4 linked regions of the Drosophila melanogaster genome follow. The protein of the gene in region 4 interacts with the protein of the main gene of each other region in a biochemical or structural test. Each region holds a gene or a part of one and is shown on either strand. Other genes may lie near its edges.

Region 1 (5,268 bases), on a different chromosome or scaffold from region 4:
GCACATGGCTCTTCATGACCTTTTGCCCCCCCCCGTCCCGCACACAACCCCTGGCGCATCCTTATCTCTATCCTTCGCTTCAACTTGAGTGTCAATTGTGGTGCCTGTGCAACACTGAGAACCAAGCCAAAAACTATGGCAAAAAAAAATCAAACTCTGATGCCCAAACATAGTTTTTCCAACGATATTACTCATACGCAGTGTTATTCGGTTGCACAGTAGTAGTGCTTTCAAACGCAGTTGAAATGTTTTCAGTGTTATTACAGCATAACAGATTCAATGCAAATATGTTCAACAAAAGCGGGAAAGAGACGGAAAGAGACTGGAATCTAACCTCAAGTTTGATACTATACCCAAAACACACACACACACACATACGTTTCGGGTGTTTGGGATGCGGCTAATACCTTGTTAATTATTTCACACGCACACACATGCATACACCACCTCAAATTCCCTTGGGTGGACCTTAACTGTGGGTTGATTTCAAGGCTGTGAACTCTTTTTATCGTAATACATGTGACCCATATCTATCATAAGAAAAATCAAGTACTGGCATCGTGTTTAAAAACTCTCTTCTTCAATTTAGTTTAGCTTTCCTTCTAAACTAGCAGAGCGACGTGACTGATCATGTTCTGTCGAAGTGCGACCCTGCGAGTTTTTAAGTTAAGGTCCACCCTTGTGTTTGGCCATACAAAAGCTCCTGTTTTCTAACGTGTCACGTGTTTGGCTTGTTTGCATTTGAGTTTGTGTGTGCTTGTTAGCCGTTTAACATTTCTGACACGCCAAGCGCAGCCACTGAAACTGTAACGATAACGGGAGAAGAGGAAGCACCAGCGGGATACGCCGAACAAGAGGAATAGGGACAAGAAGAACCAAAACAATGGGAAGAATGGAAAGAGGTAGGGGGAGAGGACCCAAGCGAAACGAAACGAAAAGGATTATGCAACTGCCACTGACAGCGGGCAACACAATTTGCACCCAGGGGTCCAATAGAAAGGGACGGGGTCACAGAGCGAGACGCGGAGCGAGCGGGAGAGAGCCATAGGGGACTAGAATGAGATGGAGCACGGCGGTAGAGCAGAACTTTTGCAAATTATACAACAGGCAAGACCCACAAAACAGACAACTGCAAACCAACCGCCCGTCTCGAAATGGATGGACATATGGACAGAGAGAGATGAGAGGCGGATACGTTGCTGAAAAAAAGAAAAGATGGGCGAGCAAAAAAAAAAGTGTACTGCAAACAGTGCTGCCAAAAATCCAAAAGTAGCTAAGAGCTAATCCAGACAAAACTGTCAAATGAGAAAAACAAGCTGTCAAATCTTGGGCAAAAATGTCTCAATAAATGGGAACGGCTTAAAAAACTGCTTAAATATACAATGATAAGGCAACAATGGCAGGGAAATTAACTTTTCTTAATAGGAAAGTATTTAGTTATAGTGATAATTAGGTTCATCTTAAGCTTGAGACTATAGGTAATATGAGGGAAACCAACAAGTTGCTAGTGAAAATCAATGGCTCCTTCGCCATATGCCACCAAAATGCACTCCATGATGCAACTGGAGCACTAATCAGGCCGTCTATCGACCCTTTTGAGTAACCAGAGTCGGTAAAGAAAAAAAAAACAAGCTGAATTAGCCGCATTACTATGGGACGCTTGCTGTTTCCATTGCGCTGCGCTGCTTGGTCTATTTGACCCAAATCCTATGCAATATTATCGTTTTGCTGTCGCTGTTGCTGCAATTCCCTTTGTTGCTACTTTGTGCTCACTGCTTGCTTGTCAAGTGAAAATAATTTGCAACGCGAGGGGAGGGACAAGAAAATCGATAGGCGATAGGCAATGGACGATAGACAACTGCACAGATAAGAACTACTTTTCAAGGATCTTTCTTTCCGGCTCATCAACTACTTTCTAACAATCTTGGCACAAAGTTCGCAACTTTGTTTGCGTTTAAAGTTTCAGAATCAATAGACGATGATGATGAGCTTGGTTAAGGCTCTTGCTTATAACGAACTTGTGAAAAACTTATTTAGCACACTGACCTATATAATAAAGTATTTCACAAAAATGCACTTATCTAGCGGCAATTATTTAGATATTTTTAAAGGCAAAAACTTACGAGCGACGCGAATAGCGTCTAAGATATACATATAGGATATTTTCATCGATTTAATCGATACATTATCGATTACTCACCTAACAGCGCTTGAAACAAGCGAGATTTAAATATGCGTATAACGCGTTCGATTGCAATACGCAGCGCCCGATCCTGCGGCTCCGAAAGTCTCGCGTGGTAGTCCTCGAGCAGCTCGAGAGCCCGATGAGCTTCTGAAATATATAGAGAAAAGAATATGGTTAGTACAAATGATCTTCGATTGTTTTATTATGAAATCAACCCAAAAGACCAAGGGATTCTGCCTGCCCATTTTTCCCCACTGGATTAGTGCCTACTCTGTATGTCCGCAATGCGCTCCTCCTCATCCTGACTGATCGCCAGACCCGCCTGGCCGAAGATCGTTGACCAGAAGCCCCTCTCGGAACCCTGTTCCGAACCACTTTCCCCAGCCGCATCCTGTACGTGGGATCTCTGCTTGGGCTTTGGCTTCGCCTTGCTCTTGGCCTTCAACTGCAGCTCCGATTGCGATTTCTCGAGACTTTCCCGCTCGAGAGTCTCGATCATGGTGCGAAATCGGCTCAGTTCCATGCGCAAACCCTCGGCACTGTGGCGACTCGACGAAGAGACGGAGAGTCCGGAAATGCCGGAGAGAAGGCGACAACGGGCTGCGCCCGAGGATGACGACGACGGACCCTCCCACTCGTCGCGCGAAGCATCGCTCTCGGACTTCTCAAAGTAGCCAGACTCCACATCCGGTGTTCGGACCATCGAAGTGGAGGACAGCATGTGTCCGTACTCGAGAAGATCCTGGGCGGAATAGAAGCATTCAACGGACTCGCGGACACTATCGCGCAGGGATGTTGGACACTTCGGAGGCTCGGGATCCGGTTCGGTTACGGTCTCCATTTGGTGTTCCATCACCTCCAGTTGCGAATCCCCATCCATATCGCTAGCTTTGGCAGCTACTGCCACCGGATTGGTATCATCGATTTCTTGGCGCACTTCTATGGCTTCCGCCGACGGCTGTACCAAGACCACCAAAGGTGGCTGGTCTTGGTCGCAGCGAATCTGTGCCTTCTTCTGCGGCAGCAGGCACTCCTCCTCCTCGGGCTCCTCCTCATCGTCCGCCGGAGAGGAATCCTCCGCCGGTTCATCATCGTCGTGGAATGTCTTGTCATCGCTACTGAGCAGTCCCTCGTTGGGATCGCTGCTCTTCTCCCGCTCCGAGTCCGTATCCGAATCCATTACCAGGACCAGCCAAGAAGACACCTCTCTTCGCGCCCAAGTGCCGCACTCAACTGGCTAGACTTTTGAGCTCTATTATGGTTCTATAGTTTGGTGGCTGCTACCGCCGATAAATCAATAAAGATTGACGCTTTTTAAACATTTTTCACCGCTTGTCGGACGCCAGTTATTAACGCTTTTTTTTTTTTGTTTTTTTGTTTCCATGAAGGGTGTGTGCCTAAAATTCCCCATCCTAAATGCTTTAACTTGAAAATCTGAATAGCAACGAAGTTGTGTGTTGCTGCGCATAGTTTGATGTCCCCATGCGAAGAGGTCAGGGGTCAAGTGCCATACCGTCGCTGGCTTGTCATTCGTGCCGCGTTTGCCAAAAAATTAAACACATAATTTATTATTATAATCGAGTCGCATTATGGTCCCAAAACACACGCACACACACACACATACAGAGCACACAAACCAAACTATACATACTCGTATCTAAATGAACATTGTATCTGTGGCCGCAGTTTGATGTCCTCAGCACGCGTCAAACGCCGACGTTGACCTTCACTGACCATTTGCGAGGCTGCTGGCAGCGCTTTTCCCCGGTTTTCCCATTTTCCGTCTGCTGCGGCTCCTCTCTTTCCCCCTCCCCCTTCCCCCTTCCGCACCATTTCATTTCATCTCTTCTGTTGGCCATTTGAGTTGCCCAAATATGATTTGTATGTGACATAATCAAATAAAATTCTTTGTCTGCATTAATTTAGCTGGTTTTTTATGTATTTTTTTTTTTTTTTTTTGTTGCATAGCTTCCAATGCACAGTTGGATACATTGTTTGTTTGGCCAAAAGTGCCATCTCGTGTGTAATTGGAAGCAGCTTTGCTGGCTAACTTTGCGCAGCACGTAAAAGTTAAATGATCTACTAAAATTACAATTGAAAAACTAATGCCAACTTTCTATATACTATATGGTGCTTAAAACTTTCACCAGCAAATCAATGCAGTTTTGCATAGACATAGCTTTTTTAATAGGTTCTAACTTTATTTCACAATAGTTAAGGTTATTTTTCTAAATTTGTTATGCATAGAATTATGTAAAATGTGATCTTAAACCATTGTGTTAAGTTTTAAACTACTTTTTCAATTGCTGAAAACTGGCAAACAGTTTTCACTGTCCACCATTCATAAGGTCCATTCAATTGAATGGATTTCCACGTAATGCCAAAGACAGATATGTAGAACAGAAAATAAAAAAAGAAGAAGAAGGAGGGAAAGGTGGGAAAGGTGGGCAGTGAATAAAAGTGCAATTTTTCGCTTACCTTGCTTTTTCACTGGCATTCTGTGAGCGGTGTTTCTGCTACTATTTATGGTGGTGCTGGTGGAAATGGCAGCGGAAATGGCGGTGGTGCAGCAGCTTTGATTGTGGTTCAACGCCGCCGAACTGGGAAAAGCGTGGGTCGCAATTTTGAGAATTTACTGGAGTCGCTTTCGAGTGGAAATGTGCGGAAAAATCGCTTTGGCTTTTCCTTGAGTTCTCCTCCTTTTAGTTTCGCCAGCACATCTGTATATATATCTGATATATATGTATATATATATATATACTATTCGATGGTGTTTTATGTACAAATATTGTTTTGTTAGATACTTTGGCTTTCGAACAAAGTTCGAGATTTGTTGTTTTTTTTTTAATTTTGCGCTTTCAGTTTGCTAGTTTATTTTTTAATTTCTTTATATATTTTACTTTTCGTTTTCTTGGGGCAGCTTTGTGGTTACATTGACGTGTGCGTTTTCTCTCGATTTCTTTGCGATTTTCACATTTCACAGCTCAATGGCTCCTCACATTCACATTCGGTTCTATAGCATTTATGTTGCACTTTATATTGCAATGCGACTATCATCGAAATGTCGTACTTTCCTCGTCACA
Region 2 (4,442 bases), on a different chromosome or scaffold from region 4:
TGGGCATGCCCTGTACTAACCTAGACGACCAGATCACCGCTCAGACACTGCGGGGTATAAACGTTGGCCAACGAGTCCCAGCCACAGTCGGCCAACTGATGGGTCCTGTGGGGATTCCAATCCAATCCGCACACGAACTCCGTGTGCCGCGCATTGACCTCCTGGGCGGACTCACCACGCTCCAGATTCCAAATCCTAAAAAGGTGACAAAAGTGGACAGTTGTTACTAACCATAAAAATGTCCTGTTTTTTGAAAGCCTAAGATCATTCCACTTACCTTGTGGTAAAATCATAATTGGCCGATGCCAAGACCGCTGCCGAGTGCGGTGAACAGGCCAATCGCCGGACAGCGAATTCTCCAGAGTACAGCTCAAAGACGTGCGTCCTCATCTTGCGCAGATCCCAGCCGCGGATCAGACCGTCCGAACCTCCAGTGACCAGGACATTGCGATCGAAGTGCGACCAGTCGCAGCATAGTGCCTCACTCGCATGCGCCTCGATGCTCATCAGGGGTTTACCTGCAAAGTCAAGAGAGTTCCATAAGTTAAGATGTCCATCGGTACTTACGCTTGCAAACAGATTGGCGATCAGGGGCGAGAACTTGGCCCCGTAGATCAGATCGTTGTGGCCCACAAATGTGGTGATGGAGTTCTGTCTGTTGCAGTCCCACAATTTCAGTGTACAATCCCAGCTGCCCGAGAGCAGCGTGTGGTAGTTCCACTTCTCGCCCCAGTCCAGGCTGTACACCTCGTTCTTGTGCTCCTGCAGGCAGATCAGCGGCTGTTTCGGCGTCAGCTGGTTGCTCGCCGATTCGCCATCCAATCCGCACCAGATCTGAAGCGATCCATCTCCGGAGGCAGTGGCGGCGATATCGGCGGCATACGGACACCAGGCGACGTCGAACAATCCATCGGACCACTCTAGGCGGCACAGCTCTCCGAGACTCTGGCCATCTGTGGATGAGGAATTTGTGTTGGAGTTCTGTTCCAGCAGAAAGAGGGAACCACCTCCAGCAAGACCGTACAGTTGGCTGGGTATCGAAAAAAAATGGTTTTCTATTAGTATATTGTTGGTTTTAGAGCTTAAGATTGATCTCACCTTGTAGCTAGCAGCAAGTAGTTAGCCTCGAAAGGCGAAAAGCGCAGGCTATAGCCATGTCGGTCTGTGGTGGTGTGTGTCTGTGTCTGCATCTTGGTTCTAGATCTCAACTGCAAAGAAAAAAAAAGGAGAGATTCAAAATAATACCAATTTCTCTGGACCTTAAATATTATCTAACATTAACTACAATGAATTGCGACCTTTGGTAAGCTAGTTGTAAGAAATGCCAATTTCAATTATACCTCTCACATTAAAATCAATATATCGACGTTTGATACATAACAAAATTAAAAACATCTAAGGTTTCTCCTTGCTGCCCACTGATGTTTGGCTAAGAGAGAACAAAACTGGCCGATTGATAACAACCCGGTAACACCAAATCGGATGCTAATCCAGCTCCAACCTACCATGCTCAATTATTCAACAGTTGGCCAAATGACCTCGTACTAGGTCGGAAAATCGGAAAAAGATACTTGACATTAGCCAATTTGCTCGGGCAAGTGGCAAACTGCGCAGAAAATAGAACAACCCCTGGAAGCAGCTTGTTTGCAGTTTTCCCTTAGTTCCTATGGTTCTATCTTATTGTCGTGTTGGACAAGCCAACAAACAAGTGCATAACGAGCAAATCCAGTTAGTGGCCAGAATGAAGACCCACGGACAGGGCCAGGGCAAAGGTATATAAGCAGGTTGTACGGCACTTGGGTTTCGCATTTTCCTCCGCCGAACGGAAAACTCTATAACGCGCATCGCCCGACTTAGCCTCGAATTGCCCAGTTGCATTTGCCAGGAATCAAAGAAATCCACTAATCCACAATGGTTGTATCCGTGAAGGTCTTTAAGAAGGCCACGCCCAACGGCAAGGTCACCTTTTATCTGGGACGCCGCGACTTCATCGACCACATCGACTACTGTGATCCCGTCGATGGAGTGATTGTGGTGGAACCGGACTATCTAAAGAACAGGAAAGTCTTTGGCCAACTGGCCACCACCTATCGCTATGGTCGCGAGGAGGACGAGGTCATGGGAGTGAAGTTCTCCAAGGAGCTTATCCTGTGCCGGGAGCAAATTGTGCCCATGACCAATCCCAACATGGAGATGACACCGATGCAGGAGAAGCTGGTCCGCAAACTGGGCAGCAACGCCTATCCGTTCACCTTCCACTTCCCGCCCAATTCGCCCAGCTCCGTTACTCTGCAGCAGGAGGGCGACGACAATGGCAAGCCCCTGGGCGTCGAGTACACCATCCGGGCATTTGTGGGCGACTCCGAGGACGATCGCCAGCACAAGCGGAGCATGGTCAGTCTGGTGATCAAGAAGCTGCAGTACGCTCCCCTCAATCGTGGCCAGCGTCTGCCCAGCTCGCTGGTCAGCAAGGGATTCACCTTCTCGAATGGCAAGATCAGTCTGGAGGTTACGCTGGACAGGGAGATCTACTATCATGGCGAGAAGACGGCTGCCACCGTCCAGGTGTCGAACAACTCCAAGAAGTCCGTGAAGAGCATCAAGTGCTTCATTGTGCAGCACACTGAGATCACCATGGTGAACGCCCAGTTCAGCAAGCATGTGGCCCAGCTGGAGACCAAGGAGGGCTGCCCCATCACTCCGGGCGCCAATCTCACCAAGACCTTCTACTTGATTCCGCTGGCGGCTAACAACAAGGATCGCCATGGTAGGATTTGGATGTGATAGTTGTGATTCTGGATAGTTTCTAATGGATTATTTAATTGTGAACTCAGGTATCGCCCTGGATGGTCACTTGAAGGACGAGGATGTCAACCTGGCTTCATCCACCATGGTGCAGGAGGGCAAGTCCACGGGAGATGCCTGTGGTATTGTCATCTCGTACTCGGTGCGCATTAAGCTCAACTGCGGCACTCTGGGAGGTGAAATGCAGACGGATGTGCCCTTCAAGCTACTCCAACCGGCACCTGGTAAGCTTTAGAAGATTACTTGAACTTGACTTCTAGTTTGTAATTCCTTTGATGTGGTATAGGAACCATTGAGAAGAAGCGCTCGAATGCCATGAAGAAAATGAAGTCCATCGAGCAGCACCGCAATGTGAAGGGCTATTACCAGGATGATGACGATAATATTGTATTCGAGGACTTCGCCAAGATGCGCATGAACAATGTGAACATGGCGGACTAGGCCACCGATCTTCAATCTCTTCTAGCTCTGTTGTGAACCGAATTGAACTAAATCGAAAGCACTGAAAATTTGTTGCAGCAGTCTCTCGTGGAGGCCACAATCTTTGTATTATAATCGTATCTATAATGTAACTTTGGTGGATCTGGAGTTTGTACCCGTACATATGCATGTTGATGAGTTGAACAGACCTCGTGTCGCTATATTATAAATGTGTTATGGCTATCAAAAGCACTCACCTTTTCTCTCGTTTGCGATGTAGTATCCAAAAGTGATTCGGTAAGGATTCGGTTTTTGGTAGTGGATTGTTCTTGGCGGTGCTGTGGGTTTCAACTTCAGAAGTCGAATGATCTAAACAACTGCGCAGCTCGACGACGAAGGATCTGCTGGCAGGAATTCTAAGGGTGATTTTTCAACGATGACAGGGGGTTGAAAAGCCCAATGCTTATAGGTCACATCGTAGGCTTTCAACCCCTTGCAAGAAGCAACAGGCTGCCAGGATATGTGTTCCACCAATCAGGATCAACCAGAACTGGATATGGCCGGCTCTAACGGTCAACGGAAGTTCCAAGCTCCAGATGTTGACAATGCGTTTGCCAAAATACACAATTTTTGTGTATGCTAAATAGCCCAAGCTTTTGACCTTGATGATGGCTAAGGCCGCCAGCTGCCAGCAGTTTGATTCTAGGTCTCATCCCCGTCAGTCTAGCTGATTTTCCTCTTTTTTTTGGTTTTTTCTATTTTACAATTTTCTCGCATTTTATTTGCCATATCTTATATAAGCCCTGCAGCTGACCGTTGGAGCATTGCACAATCCGGGGCAGCAGCGTCGATCGATTTCACACACCGCTGACTGCTGGGCAAGTGACTTCCGGCTTTTGGCCAAGCCCCGAAAAGTGGCCAACTATAAATGGCTATGTTGTTGTCAAAATGCTGCCACAAATTTGACGAGAGTGCAACGCGATGGATCTGCCAATTGGAAAGTTAAACGGACTGCTAAAGATGCAAATATTCCTCCTGCAATTGTTGCTTTTCGTTTCGCCGGCATTGTTGCAGCAGCCACATGTCTTTTACCATCCAAGACAATTGTATTACGATTCACCGCGTCTTCGTCGCTTTGAGTATGGTGCCGCTGCCACGCCCATTGTGGGCGGCTATAGTCCGGCTCCTCCGCCGGCGATTCACTTTCAGCAGCAGAC
Region 3 (5,290 bases), on a different chromosome or scaffold from region 4:
TCTTTCCATCCCGCGCCAATTCGGTGATCATGAAGCAGCGCGTTTTGGCGGCTAGAAGGGGCGTGGGTCTCCTCAAGCGGAAGCGGGACGCCATCGATATGAAGCTACGCGAATTGCGTCGCATCCGCTTCGACCAGGACATGCACGGCGATGAGGCGATGCGCAATGCCATATTCTCGATGGCAAAGGCCAATCTTCTGGGCGCCGATTTCAAGCCGCAGATGGTAAGCCGCAGCCACGTGGCAACCGTATCGCTACGCCGCACGGAGATCAAAATTGTGGGCGTCAAGCTGAACACCCTGGAGCTGGAGACGAAGGGCGTGGGCGCTTTTCCGCTGGCTGGTCTCAGCTGTGGCGGTATGCAAGTGAGCCGAATCAGGGACTCCTATACGAAGGCACTCAAGGCACTGGTGGAGTTCGCCTCTCTGGAATACCAAGTGCGAATGCTGGAGGCAGCCTCGTTGCAGACCAACATGAGGGTCAATGCTCTGGAGCATGTGGTAATTATAATTAATTCATATGATCCATATGTTATCATGGATAATCTTCAATAAATATCACTTTGTATCCGCAAGGTAATACCCATCCTGCAAAATACCTATAACTATATATGCGGCGAGTTGGAGGAGTTCGAGCGCGAGGATTTCTATCGCCTGAAACGCTCCCAGGCGAAGCAGCTGGAGGCCAAGATGGCCTTCACCGAGCTGATCAAGACCAAGAACATGACCGACGAGGAGCTGGAGACCTACATAAAGCGAAACATAAATCAGACGCGTCCTCCAGCGGCCGACACACCCTTCGATCAGGAGCAGTTCGAGGAGCGTGAGGTGAAGCGGCGCATGCGGGAGGCCCGTCTGTCCCTAAAGCAGCGCCGCGAGCAGGAGAGAAAGGAGGCCATCAAGCGGGGCGAGCCCCCACCGCCCACATCCTTCATCACCACCCACGGAGCCTCGTTGAGTTTCGCTGGTCGCCAGCGGGATCCGCGAGCCAGCAGTGGTGATCTGTACAGCACCAAGCGGATGCTCCTCTCCTCCGGACCGGAAAGGAAGTCCGCCAGTAATGTGACCGAAAGGAAGTCCGATACTCCTCCGCGTAATAGCCAGGAAACTCAGCGCAGATCCAGCCAGATGTCGAAAGATGTCGTAAATGAAGATCCACCCGAAGAAAGTTAGTTAATCGGACTCACAAATCCAAAATCTAAAGTTGTCCAAAAATTCTTAATTATTTTTAATATGGTGTGCAAATAGAAGATTTATTTTAGGTGATCACTTCGAAAAAGTATAGCAATTTCAGTCGAAAATCGAAAAATATATGGAAAAATTTACCGTCATTGTTATTAATAACGTATACGTATGTAATTTCTGTCTGCTGTATAATATACATGTGTATGTGTGTATGTTAATTCCCCATCATATGCAATGGCAAATGCTATATGTTTGCAACAGCTGACTTTACAGTTCGTTTTTTTTTAACATCGAATGTTAGTTTAACATTTACGTTAACATTTATCCGTTAAGAATAAAATTTGCAACATTTTGAAGTATATTTTTGTCAATTAAAATTTGAACTTAAAAATCGAAGAACTGTTTACATAAACATAAATCACAACCGGTAATTAGAATAAACGGACAATAAAAAAGACATTTGTTTATATAGATGTACATATGTGAGTACATACATAGTTGATTCATTTTTTTCTATTACTGCAAGGGCAAACCTATGCATAAGTTTATTTTTGCAGAAGCTAGCTTCCTATTATTTATAACTTTAGTTACCTGTAGTATGTTGATACAATTTTTGTACACACCTATTTTCGCGAAAAGCGCCGGCGCGACCGTTACAACGGCGAAATCAAACTTATTTTCGCTTTACGAAGGTGAGTGGATAAGCAACAGAAACAAACACATGCAGACGCTGCCGCTGCAAAAGCGAACTTACCCGGTTCGTTCTCGCGAGAGCGAGAGCGGTTATTGCTATTGCTGCTGGCAAAATAAAACCGTATATATGGCGACGCAGCGCTATTTTGAACACAAAGTTTTGAGTCGTCGACCGTTGCGGACGGAAATTCAGATTAGGATCGTGAGTTGTCAGAACAAACAGACCAGACATTGCATATAGAGAGCAGTATTGGGCCAACAAAAAAAAAAAAAAAATACAAAAAAAGCGAAAAGAGCCCACACCCAAGCACCAGGAGCTGCGAACGTTTCGCGGAAAAGCCAATTTCTCAGCGCCAGCCAAAAATCAAGAAAACCAACGAGCAAAAAATTAAACAAATATCTTTATAAAAACCGAATTCGAGCAACTCTTATATGTATTAGCTCTCCCCGCCATATATCTACTATATAAACGAGAATTCTGCCGTGTGCGCGCGTGTGTTTGGCATATTTCGCACAATAGATGAAAAAAAAAACGAATGAAAGCCACAAAAAAATAAAGAAGAAACGCAAGGCGAAAATTTGTATTAAATTCGGCTGAAGCAACAACACTAAAGAAATTTCAGAAACTGCCACGGCGAGAAAAAAAAGCGTCGGCGTCGGTGCTTTGGACGGACGCTTTTCTTTCTCTCCAAGCTGGCAGTAGTTTTTCTCCTCAGCCTCTTCCACCTCCAGTTGACCCCCCGAAAGTAATACCCAACAAACCTCTTCTTGCTTCTTTTGCAGTGTGTTAATTTAGTAAAATATAAAGTTAACCGCGCGTTCCGTAATTCCACTCACACACATACCAACACCCAAGCAGCAGCAGTAGCCGCAGCGGATTAAAACTTCGTCACTCTAGCAACAAACAGAAAAAAAAAACACCTACAAAAATGGTAAGTTTATGGGGCTGGAGAACATGTGCATCTTTATTTTCTGTTTACACAACCTGCGGCCATCATTTTCCATTGAAATTTCCACAGTTTTTGCGAAAAATCAAAGTCAGACAGCGACCCCCAGGGCTATTGCCATTAGTGCGAGCGGGAGGAGCGAATCGCTTCCAATTAGACGTTGTTTATATGGTTTTAACGGCTTTTCACACACACACACTCGCTACACACATCCCAGCACACCAAACACCCCGTCGAAAAGCAGCTGTCCCCGGGAAATTCGTTTACATTTTGCACCCCAAAAATATATCGCCTCACGGGTAGAAAAAACCAGTTTTTTCAACAACCCAATATCGTTGATTTAGAAACAAGAAATTGCGAACACCATGCAACCCCTTGAAAATATGGTAGTTTATACCCCTTTCACAATGAAACATAATCAAAATCCATAAAACTGCATTGAGAAAAAGTGAATGCAATCATTTGAAATTAAGTTTATACTTAAACTAGTATATTTAAGCTGCAAGATTTTCATGTTCTTAACCTGACTTAATCAAATGTTCAACTTTGGCCCCTAGGGTCACAGAAAACAAGCAGCACAATTAAATAGCAATGCCAATAGCAAGAATTTACACACATGTCACGTCACTCGTCAAAATTATTATTTATTTTATCAAGGCTGTCGCACACGGAATGTTGACGCGATCGGGTTCGCCCTATAATAATTCCATGACGTTCGGGTAGAAATACCCCTGGAAACCCAATCAGGCGTGGAAAAGTGGAAACTCTTATCAGCATCTCGAGCAACACCTCATTTTCGAAGCCCCCCTGCTTGCCCAACCCACCACCACCATTTGGGATCATAAATCAATGTGATTTTAGCCAATTTGTTGAGCATTTATGCACACACACACTCGCATTCCTACATAGACGCGTTGCCATCGGCACTTTTATCAGCAATTTTTCAAAGATCCCCGCAAATAATAGAAAAGCGCCCTCCATTTTGCTTATCAGTGGAAAATGTGTGAATATATATTGATGATGAACAACAAAGTCGCCGGTCCCGGCATTATTGGCCTCTCCTCTTTGCCCCGCCGTTCGTTGTTCGCTTGTTCTTTGCTTTCTGGTTGTATTTTTTATTTACCGCACACTTGGCCGCAAAAATTGAGGTTAGACACGGCCCCATGGAAATGGTGAAAAAATTCTTTAGAGGCATTTCTCCTGCTCTTGCGCTCAGCTTAACCGTTTCGACGCTCTCTCGCATAACCGTTTCACACACTTTCTCGTCTCTCTCTATGTGCAATTATTTCGTTTGCGTTATCAGTTCCGTTTTGTGCTGCGTCTCTCTCTTTCCGTTTCTTTCAGCATTTCATTTTTTTTTGCGCCTTGCGCTTGTCACTTTTATCGGCGCCTGCCTTTTCTTGTTTTCTTCCATAACCGTTTCATTTGCCGCATTGCGGTTATTTTGCTGTTTCGCCTTCGCCTTGGTTCGTCCGCTTCGGTCGTTCATTCGTTCGGCTCCGCGTATTCGTATTCGTGTGCGTGTGAGTGAGCGTATGGGTGTGTGTGTTGGCGGCTGCCTGTTCCACTTTGCCTTTTCGCGCAAGAATTTTATTGTAACGGCACAGGCGAACGATGGGGGAGGAGGAGCGCTGCAAATGAAGAAAAATTCCTGCTAGACGCCGCCGCTTAACCACATAATCCAATTTTCTTGCCGCCCTCTTTGCGCTTTCTTCTCTCGTTCGTTTGCTTTCCTCTGCGCTTTTTGATAAGAAAGCCCCACGCCCACTGCGATGCCCACACCCGCGCCACACCTTCTTTCAGCCTCATCTGGTGTCGCCTAATTTAATTAGCGATTTTACAGCTCACGCAGAATGCAAACAGCTTTTAATTAAAATATATCGCATCGCTTTCTACGTGGCCAATTTGTTTCAGTGATTCAACCAACGCTGCTAACTTGGCCCAGAAGCAAACATTTGCCAAGGGTTTTACTGACTGATCTTCAAAGTTTGTTGATCTTTAGCTCGGCTAATTATGAGATACGTTTGTCTGTATATCTTATTTGTTTCCGTTGAAAATGAGCCAACATTCATATAAATTTCCATGAGTCACTGTGTTCCTGGGCTGACTTCATCATATGATCATATGGCCTATGATGAATGCCCGATGATATGTGTGTGTGTCATGTTAATAATGGCAAATGACTGGCTTATGGCTCAGTTAGCACAGTTGTTTGGATCCCGGTGCGAATGCACTTAAATTGTACCCAAAAACCAAGCTCTCAATCTAACCGTCATTCATAAAACCAAACTAAACTCCATGAAACCGGTTGAGACCGGCAAAAAAAAAAAAGCGTCGGCTATACAACGGTAAACCCGGCAAACTTGGCTTTAACATAAAGCCGCATAATTTCAGCCAAGACCTGTTTTAATGTTGTATTTAACTGTCAAACTCATTGGAAGAAATAGTTTTATTCAGCAGAACTCG
Region 4 (5,551 bases):
GAGACAGATATCCTGGTGTGCCGGCAAATCCAAACCAAGCCTGATGATCGCCTTGAACTTCAATGGCTAGACCAAAGTCAGCGAGTTTCACTGCTGCACCCTTAGCCTTACTAGCTAATAGTAAATTCTCTGGTTTCAGATCTCGGTGCACCACACCATTTTGGTGGCAGTGATTGACCGATTCCAATATTTGTTGAATACAATGTGATGCATCAGCTTCTGAATAAAATTCGCGTGCAACGATATCTTCAAAAAGTTCACCACCGGTTACACTGCAAATGTATGTAGGCATAGTCAAATTTTGCGATTGAAGCTCTAAATTTAAATTTAGGTTATATTTAAGTTGCGACAGCAGAAAACACATCTCTAATATAACAAAAATATATTGCGGCTAAAACTTGATTCATATTATATTATATATATTATATTGCGGCTTTAAAATTTGATTCATATTCATATTATAGTATGAACGAACGGAGGGAAAAGGATGAAGTATGAATCTCAATAAACAATAGTCGAGTCATTGCCACATTTACAAGCATTTGTTAGAAACTCATATTTTTAAAACACTTTTGGGGATAGGCAATTTAAATATTTGGTAAGGAGTCTATGCAGGTTAATGCTTACAGGTCAAAAACAAGGTAGTGATAGTTCTCCTCCTGTATACTGTCATGTAGCCGCACTGAAATTGTACATATTAACAATTTATTAGTTGTATACATTTGTATTTAATGTTTTTTTTTTACGGATGACAATGATTATAAGCCTTAAAGGCTATAAAAATATATGTTTATAAAATACATTTTGAACATATTATATATTTTGTCGGTGACGCTGGAGGAAGTGATGTTTCTAGATTTGAACTGTCCGTGTAAATAACTGTTTTGTTAGGTTACGCTTTTAGTGAGAGGAAAGTCTATTGCATGAGTTCGGTTTTTGCTGTTCTGCAAGTTTTTATAATTATTATAATTATAAATTACTTGGAAGATTTGTTATTGGAGAGTAGGGAGGGCGAGGAATGGAATGTTGCTTGCAGATGCGGATTGATATATCTACTAAACTCTATTTTATTTTTTTCTTCGTTGTGTTACCGTGGACGTCAAACCATCCTTTATCAGGATCACATTGCAAGTCATCAACACTACTGGGGTCTAAGCCGTGATTGAATGTACATATAAAAATTATGTATAGTAGATGTTCAAAGTGATATTAGGCCATGTTCGTCTACTTTTATGTAGATCATACATCTTCAGAAAAACGTATCTTTAAAGAATAAGTAAGTAAATTATATTTATATACACGTTGCATACCTATGTTGGGATGGTGTAACTTTCTGCAGATCCTTGCTTCACGTTCCAGTTTTTGAAAGTCTAAAAGCAAAAAAAAAAAATATATATATATATATATTATAAGCATCTCTTATATGCATACATGCATGTGTACAAATATGTTAATAAGAGGTTTTTGGCGAGCAAGCAAATGGTTCTCTCTAAGCCCAAAATTTGTCCCAGCTGTCATGCTCAAACTTCTTAAAAGTTATTTAATATATTTTTTGTAAATTACACACTTTGCCAATACTGCTATTCCAAAATTATTTTGGCCACGTCTTGGCAGTAAAAATTTATTAATTACTAAATAGCACAACACCAAGAAATACAACTTAATTACTGTAGAACTATTTGATACTTGTGTGGCAAATAGATAGGGACGACGAAGATATTACACAAAAAGAATGGTCCCTTCCAAAAGCGTACTTAGCAAAAAGAAAGTACATTTTACAGGAAAACTTTTTGACAGTCAATGTTTACTACTGATTTCTTACGATATGCCATATCGCCGTTGAAAAAACGGCATCAGATACCAGTTACTCAGCTAGTGTGAATGGGAACGCGAAATTTCATCATTTTTCTAGGATAACGATAGATATTGGGGAATAAAATAAGAAAAAAGTTTAAAAATTGGTCCAAAGTGTGGACGTGACCGGTTGGCGGCTTTTAAGCAAATCGATAGAAGTTAAAGGGCGTTAGAATGGGCGTGGCAAACTTTTTTTTGAGCAAATCGATAGAAATTTACAAGACCAATACAAATGTGAAAAAATATCAACACATTTTTCAAAAGTGAGGGCGTGGCGCATGTGGCAACATGGGTCAACAAACTTGCGCTGCGTATTTGTTTCTAAAATCTGTATGCCTTCTAGCTTGTATAGTTTCTGAGATCTCGACGACCATACGGAGAGACGGACTCGGCTATTGATCCTGATCAAGAATATACATACTTTCCAAGGATCAAGGATCTAGTATACCCTTTTACTGTACTCGACGAATTACCTAAAAACAGCACTTAGTTTCCCTACATGCGTGTGCATAGCATAAATGCGTACATATGTGATTTATAACCTACATAGAACACAGAAAGCCTTACCTCTGGCAGTTAATTTTTTTGTATTGATAATTTTTGCAGCAAATTCAAAGCCAGTTGACTTTTGGACACATCTTTTCACAATTGAGAATGCTCCTCTGAAATGTTAATAGACGGGTTATTATAATAAATTTATTAACCTTGAGTTTGTTAAACTTACTTTCCCAACTCTTCTTTGATGTCGTAATTGTCCGAAAAACGCGTACAGGCTGCTGGTGCAGCCATCGCGATGGCACACTTAAGAAAATCTATTGCGACTAAAGATCTTCAACTGCTCTACAGATTTCACTTTTCAGGAGTTTTATTTCTTGTTTTCTAAACGATTTTTAAATATAAGATAATAAATCAGTTTTACAAAAATTATACAAAAAATTGCTTACAACGTACAAACATACATACATTGTTGTACCATTTAGGTACCATGGGCCTTCTCTAAATATTATTTTGTTATAAAGTAATCACTAGCTGGTTCAAAAGTTTCAGACAGCGTTGGTTCTATGGTATCCAAAGGGGTACTGCATGTATTTGAGAATCCCCCGGCCATCATAGTATAAACTTGCATTCTTCTCTGTATAAGATCGGGCATGAAGCTCGTAAAGTAAAGCTCGCCAATGTAATTCAGAAGTATTCAGAGCACAGATTAGGTAACTTATTTCATAGAAACACATATCGGTAAAATTAAAAGAATGTCTCGCTATTCCAATTTTAAAATTCTATATTACTCAGTGGAGTCGATGCAAAACAGACCAGCAATCTACATATAGTTCTTCAAATTTTAAATGGTTTGTAATAATATAAGGGTTATGTTATTTTAAACAGCCGCAGGTTTCTTATTGAGTTGGTAATTCAAGTGAGTTCTCTTAAAGCACGTTGCTTAAACTAGAAAACTCGACCTCCATTTTGAAGATTTTGGTGGTTGAAGTTTTTTCATGTGATCATGAAATCATACGAAAAAACACCATACTTCGCAAGAAACAACATGTGCGGGGGCACAAATTGAAAAATGTCTGAAAATGTATTATCCTATCTCAAACGTTGAATCTGATACCTTGTTGTTGCCTAGAGATGACATGACATTCGATAGACGAAAAATGTAATAAACTCGATTATTAAACATAGGGGTCAACTCCTTACCAAAGCTACACTTAACTGTTCCCCATGCACATCAAAATAGCAAAGGTATCTACATATGTAAAACCATAACTCCGCGGTTAGTGCAGTGTAAACGGGCCTTACATCGATATGCATATCAACCACTCAGTGGCGTTTTCAATATCAAATTAAACTATGGCCCTGAAAAAATACGAATCCATTGCAGAATTAAAACAAGAGAAAACGCTATAGTAAAGCTTTTCGACTATCAGATAATTGTTACTCAGCTAGTGGAAGTATGAACGAGAATATTAAACATTTTTCTGGCGTACCGATTAAAATTGGCAAAACAATTTCAACAATTTTTTGAAAAAAAATAAACGAAAACTTAAAAAGGGCATGGCACAATCTTAACTTTCTAGCTTTTATAGTTCCTGAGATCGTGGAGTTCATACAGATAGACGGACATGAAAATTCGACTCGGCTATTGATCCTGGTGAAGACTATATATAGTTTAAACGCTCGGAAACGCGTCGTTCTGCAAGTTACATACTTTTCAACGAAGCTAGTGTGATAGCCAGCTGATCAAGAGCAGCAACAATCATTACTATTAACCTATATTACGTATTGAGTAAAGGAATAAAAAATGGAAATTATTTTTTCGTTTTACTTTCCAGTTATTATAGTTTCAGCGGTAACAGCGTTGATACGGACGACAGGCATGGGATAAAGCATGCAAATTTGTTTTCTTGAGAACCAGACATTTAATCCGCCTAAAACTGTAACTCCAATTTTTTTGAAAAATAATTTGCTTCTTTCAGTCTTGAAATCTTTTATTTCGATTTTGCCCACACATTTACAAAGTGTTTTGTTTTTTTGTTTCATTATTTTTATTTATTCTTTTATTTTGCACATTTCTGTCGGGTTGTTAAATAGTCGATGAACTACTGTCACGTTCTCTCTTGTTTTATACCTCTCCGTGAGGTTTGTTTTTTGCCATATCCGGTAACAGCGGTACTGTTAGTTTTTAGTTTGTTGTACGTGTTTTTTTAAAACTAGACCCAATCACCATGAAAAAGAAGTGTTTCCCTGGAAAAGGTATATGTAGACCCTTAATTGCACCCTCGCAATTTTGAAATAACATACTTATAATATAATATTGTCAAGTCAAATGTTACGAAAAGTTTAAAATTTGTGATCAAAACTTTATTATCTTTGTTTTAAACCAGATATATTTAACTCTCATTGACATATTTCAATCAATTAAAAAAAGCGACAGGTGTTTTTGGTTAATTTCTTAAAAAAGAAAATCCTGATTATGAGAATGTATCTGGGAAGCAGTTATATATATACGTACATATATATGTAGGTATGTATCCTTTGCAGGTTACATGCGTTGAAGCTTTTTTTGATGAGCTTAATGGTAAAACGCCCCACCCCTTTTAGCAAGGATATTTCAGGGTCTTGGAAATTACTTGTTGCAAATTATACTTTTTCATTAAATCATATAAACACGCGCTATGTACGCGAATTAAATATACTATTTGGATGAGACCTTCAGAAATGTTTTACTAAACCCATTTTTCGGACTAGGAGGGACGATATATAGAATGTGAAACACTTTTTTAAAATTAAAAAAAAAGCATTTATCATAACTCGTAAGTATTTAGGTATGTTTTAAACTTTCTTGTAGATATCAAGAGTAATTTGTAAGATGTATGTATATTGTGCAATAACAATTACAAAATTTTTAAGTGTCATATATTTATATTTACTGCGTAACTGAACAAAGGCACAAAATGGGGTACATACTGATGTTGTATAAATGTCCTTTTAAGATATAAGTGAAGCGTGTGAATATATATATTAACTTTACAATATGCAATCGTTATACGCGCGAAAAAAGTATTTAATATTAGTTGGCATATACACAGTAAGAGACCATACATATATCAAATATATGTATATGTGTATACTCATGTATATATTAGAATCTGTGTTGACCCAGAATTGTATCAGGTATTATAGATACGTAAACTTA

Evidence for each region.
Region 1: of the proteins of CaMKII (region 4) and dlg1, one has a biochemical effect on the other in vitro, tested with the Drosophila melanogaster proteins (one study listed by BioGRID).
Region 2: of the proteins of CaMKII (region 4) and Arr2, one has a biochemical effect on the other in vitro, tested with the Drosophila melanogaster proteins (one study listed by BioGRID).
Region 3: the proteins of CaMKII (region 4) and Cam interact in a test that uses a peptide from one of them, tested with the Drosophila melanogaster proteins (one study listed by BioGRID).

Annotation. Positions count from the first base shown.
Region 1 is NC_004354.4:11,373,906-11,379,173, reverse strand, and holds the start of dlg1 (discs large 1), read right to left. Parts: upstream 3,412-5,268; 5' UTR 3,366-3,411; coding exon 2,456-3,365; intron 2,333-2,455; coding exon 2,201-2,332; intron 1-2,200. UniProt on the Drosophila melanogaster protein: During embryonic development, some isoforms are essential for proper neuronal differentiation and organization. Required for cell polarity; maintenance of apicobasal polarity.
Region 2 is NT_037436.4:8,646,295-8,650,736, reverse strand, and holds Arr2 (arrestin 2), read left to right. Parts: upstream 1-1,800; 5' UTR 1,801-1,911; coding exon 1,912-2,767; intron 2,768-2,834; coding exon 2,835-3,029; intron 3,030-3,091; coding exon 3,092-3,246; 3' UTR 3,247-3,476; downstream 3,477-4,442. Other genes in the region: Pex7 (peroxin 7), read right to left, coding at 21-195, 278-1,030, 1,099-1,190; CG13305 (uncharacterized protein), read left to right, coding at 4,207-4,442. UniProt on the Drosophila melanogaster protein: Regulates photoreceptor cell deactivation. Arr1 and Arr2 proteins are mediators of rhodopsin inactivation and are essential for the termination of the phototransduction cascade.
Region 3 is NT_033778.4:12,257,380-12,262,669, forward strand, and holds the start of Cam (calmodulin), read left to right. Parts: upstream 1-2,018; 5' UTR 2,019-2,079; intron 2,080-2,652; exon of another isoform or gene 2,653-2,660; 5' UTR 2,661-2,806; coding exon 2,807-2,809; intron 2,810-2,896; exon of another isoform or gene 2,897-3,434; intron 3,435-5,290. Other genes in the region: Vha36-2 (vacuolar H[+] ATPase 36kD subunit 2), read left to right, coding at 1-500, 576-1,172. UniProt on the Drosophila melanogaster protein: Calmodulin mediates the control of a large number of enzymes, ion channels and other proteins by Ca(2+). Among the enzymes to be stimulated by the calmodulin-Ca(2+) complex are a number of protein kinases and phosphatases.
Region 4 is NC_004353.4:1,047,877-1,053,427, forward strand, and holds the start of CaMKII (Calcium/calmodulin-dependent protein kinase II), read right to left. Parts: upstream 3,503-5,551; 5' UTR 3,467-3,502; exon of another isoform or gene 2,818-3,466; intron 2,734-2,817; 5' UTR 2,644-2,733; coding exon 2,579-2,643; intron 2,517-2,578; coding exon 2,422-2,516; intron 1,371-2,421; coding exon 1,311-1,370; intron 683-1,310; coding exon 628-682; intron 273-627; coding exon 1-272. UniProt on the Drosophila melanogaster protein: A key regulator of plasticity in synaptic physiology and behavior, alterations in its activity produce pleiotrophic effects that involve synaptic transmission and development as well as various aspects of behavior. Directly modulates eag potassium channels.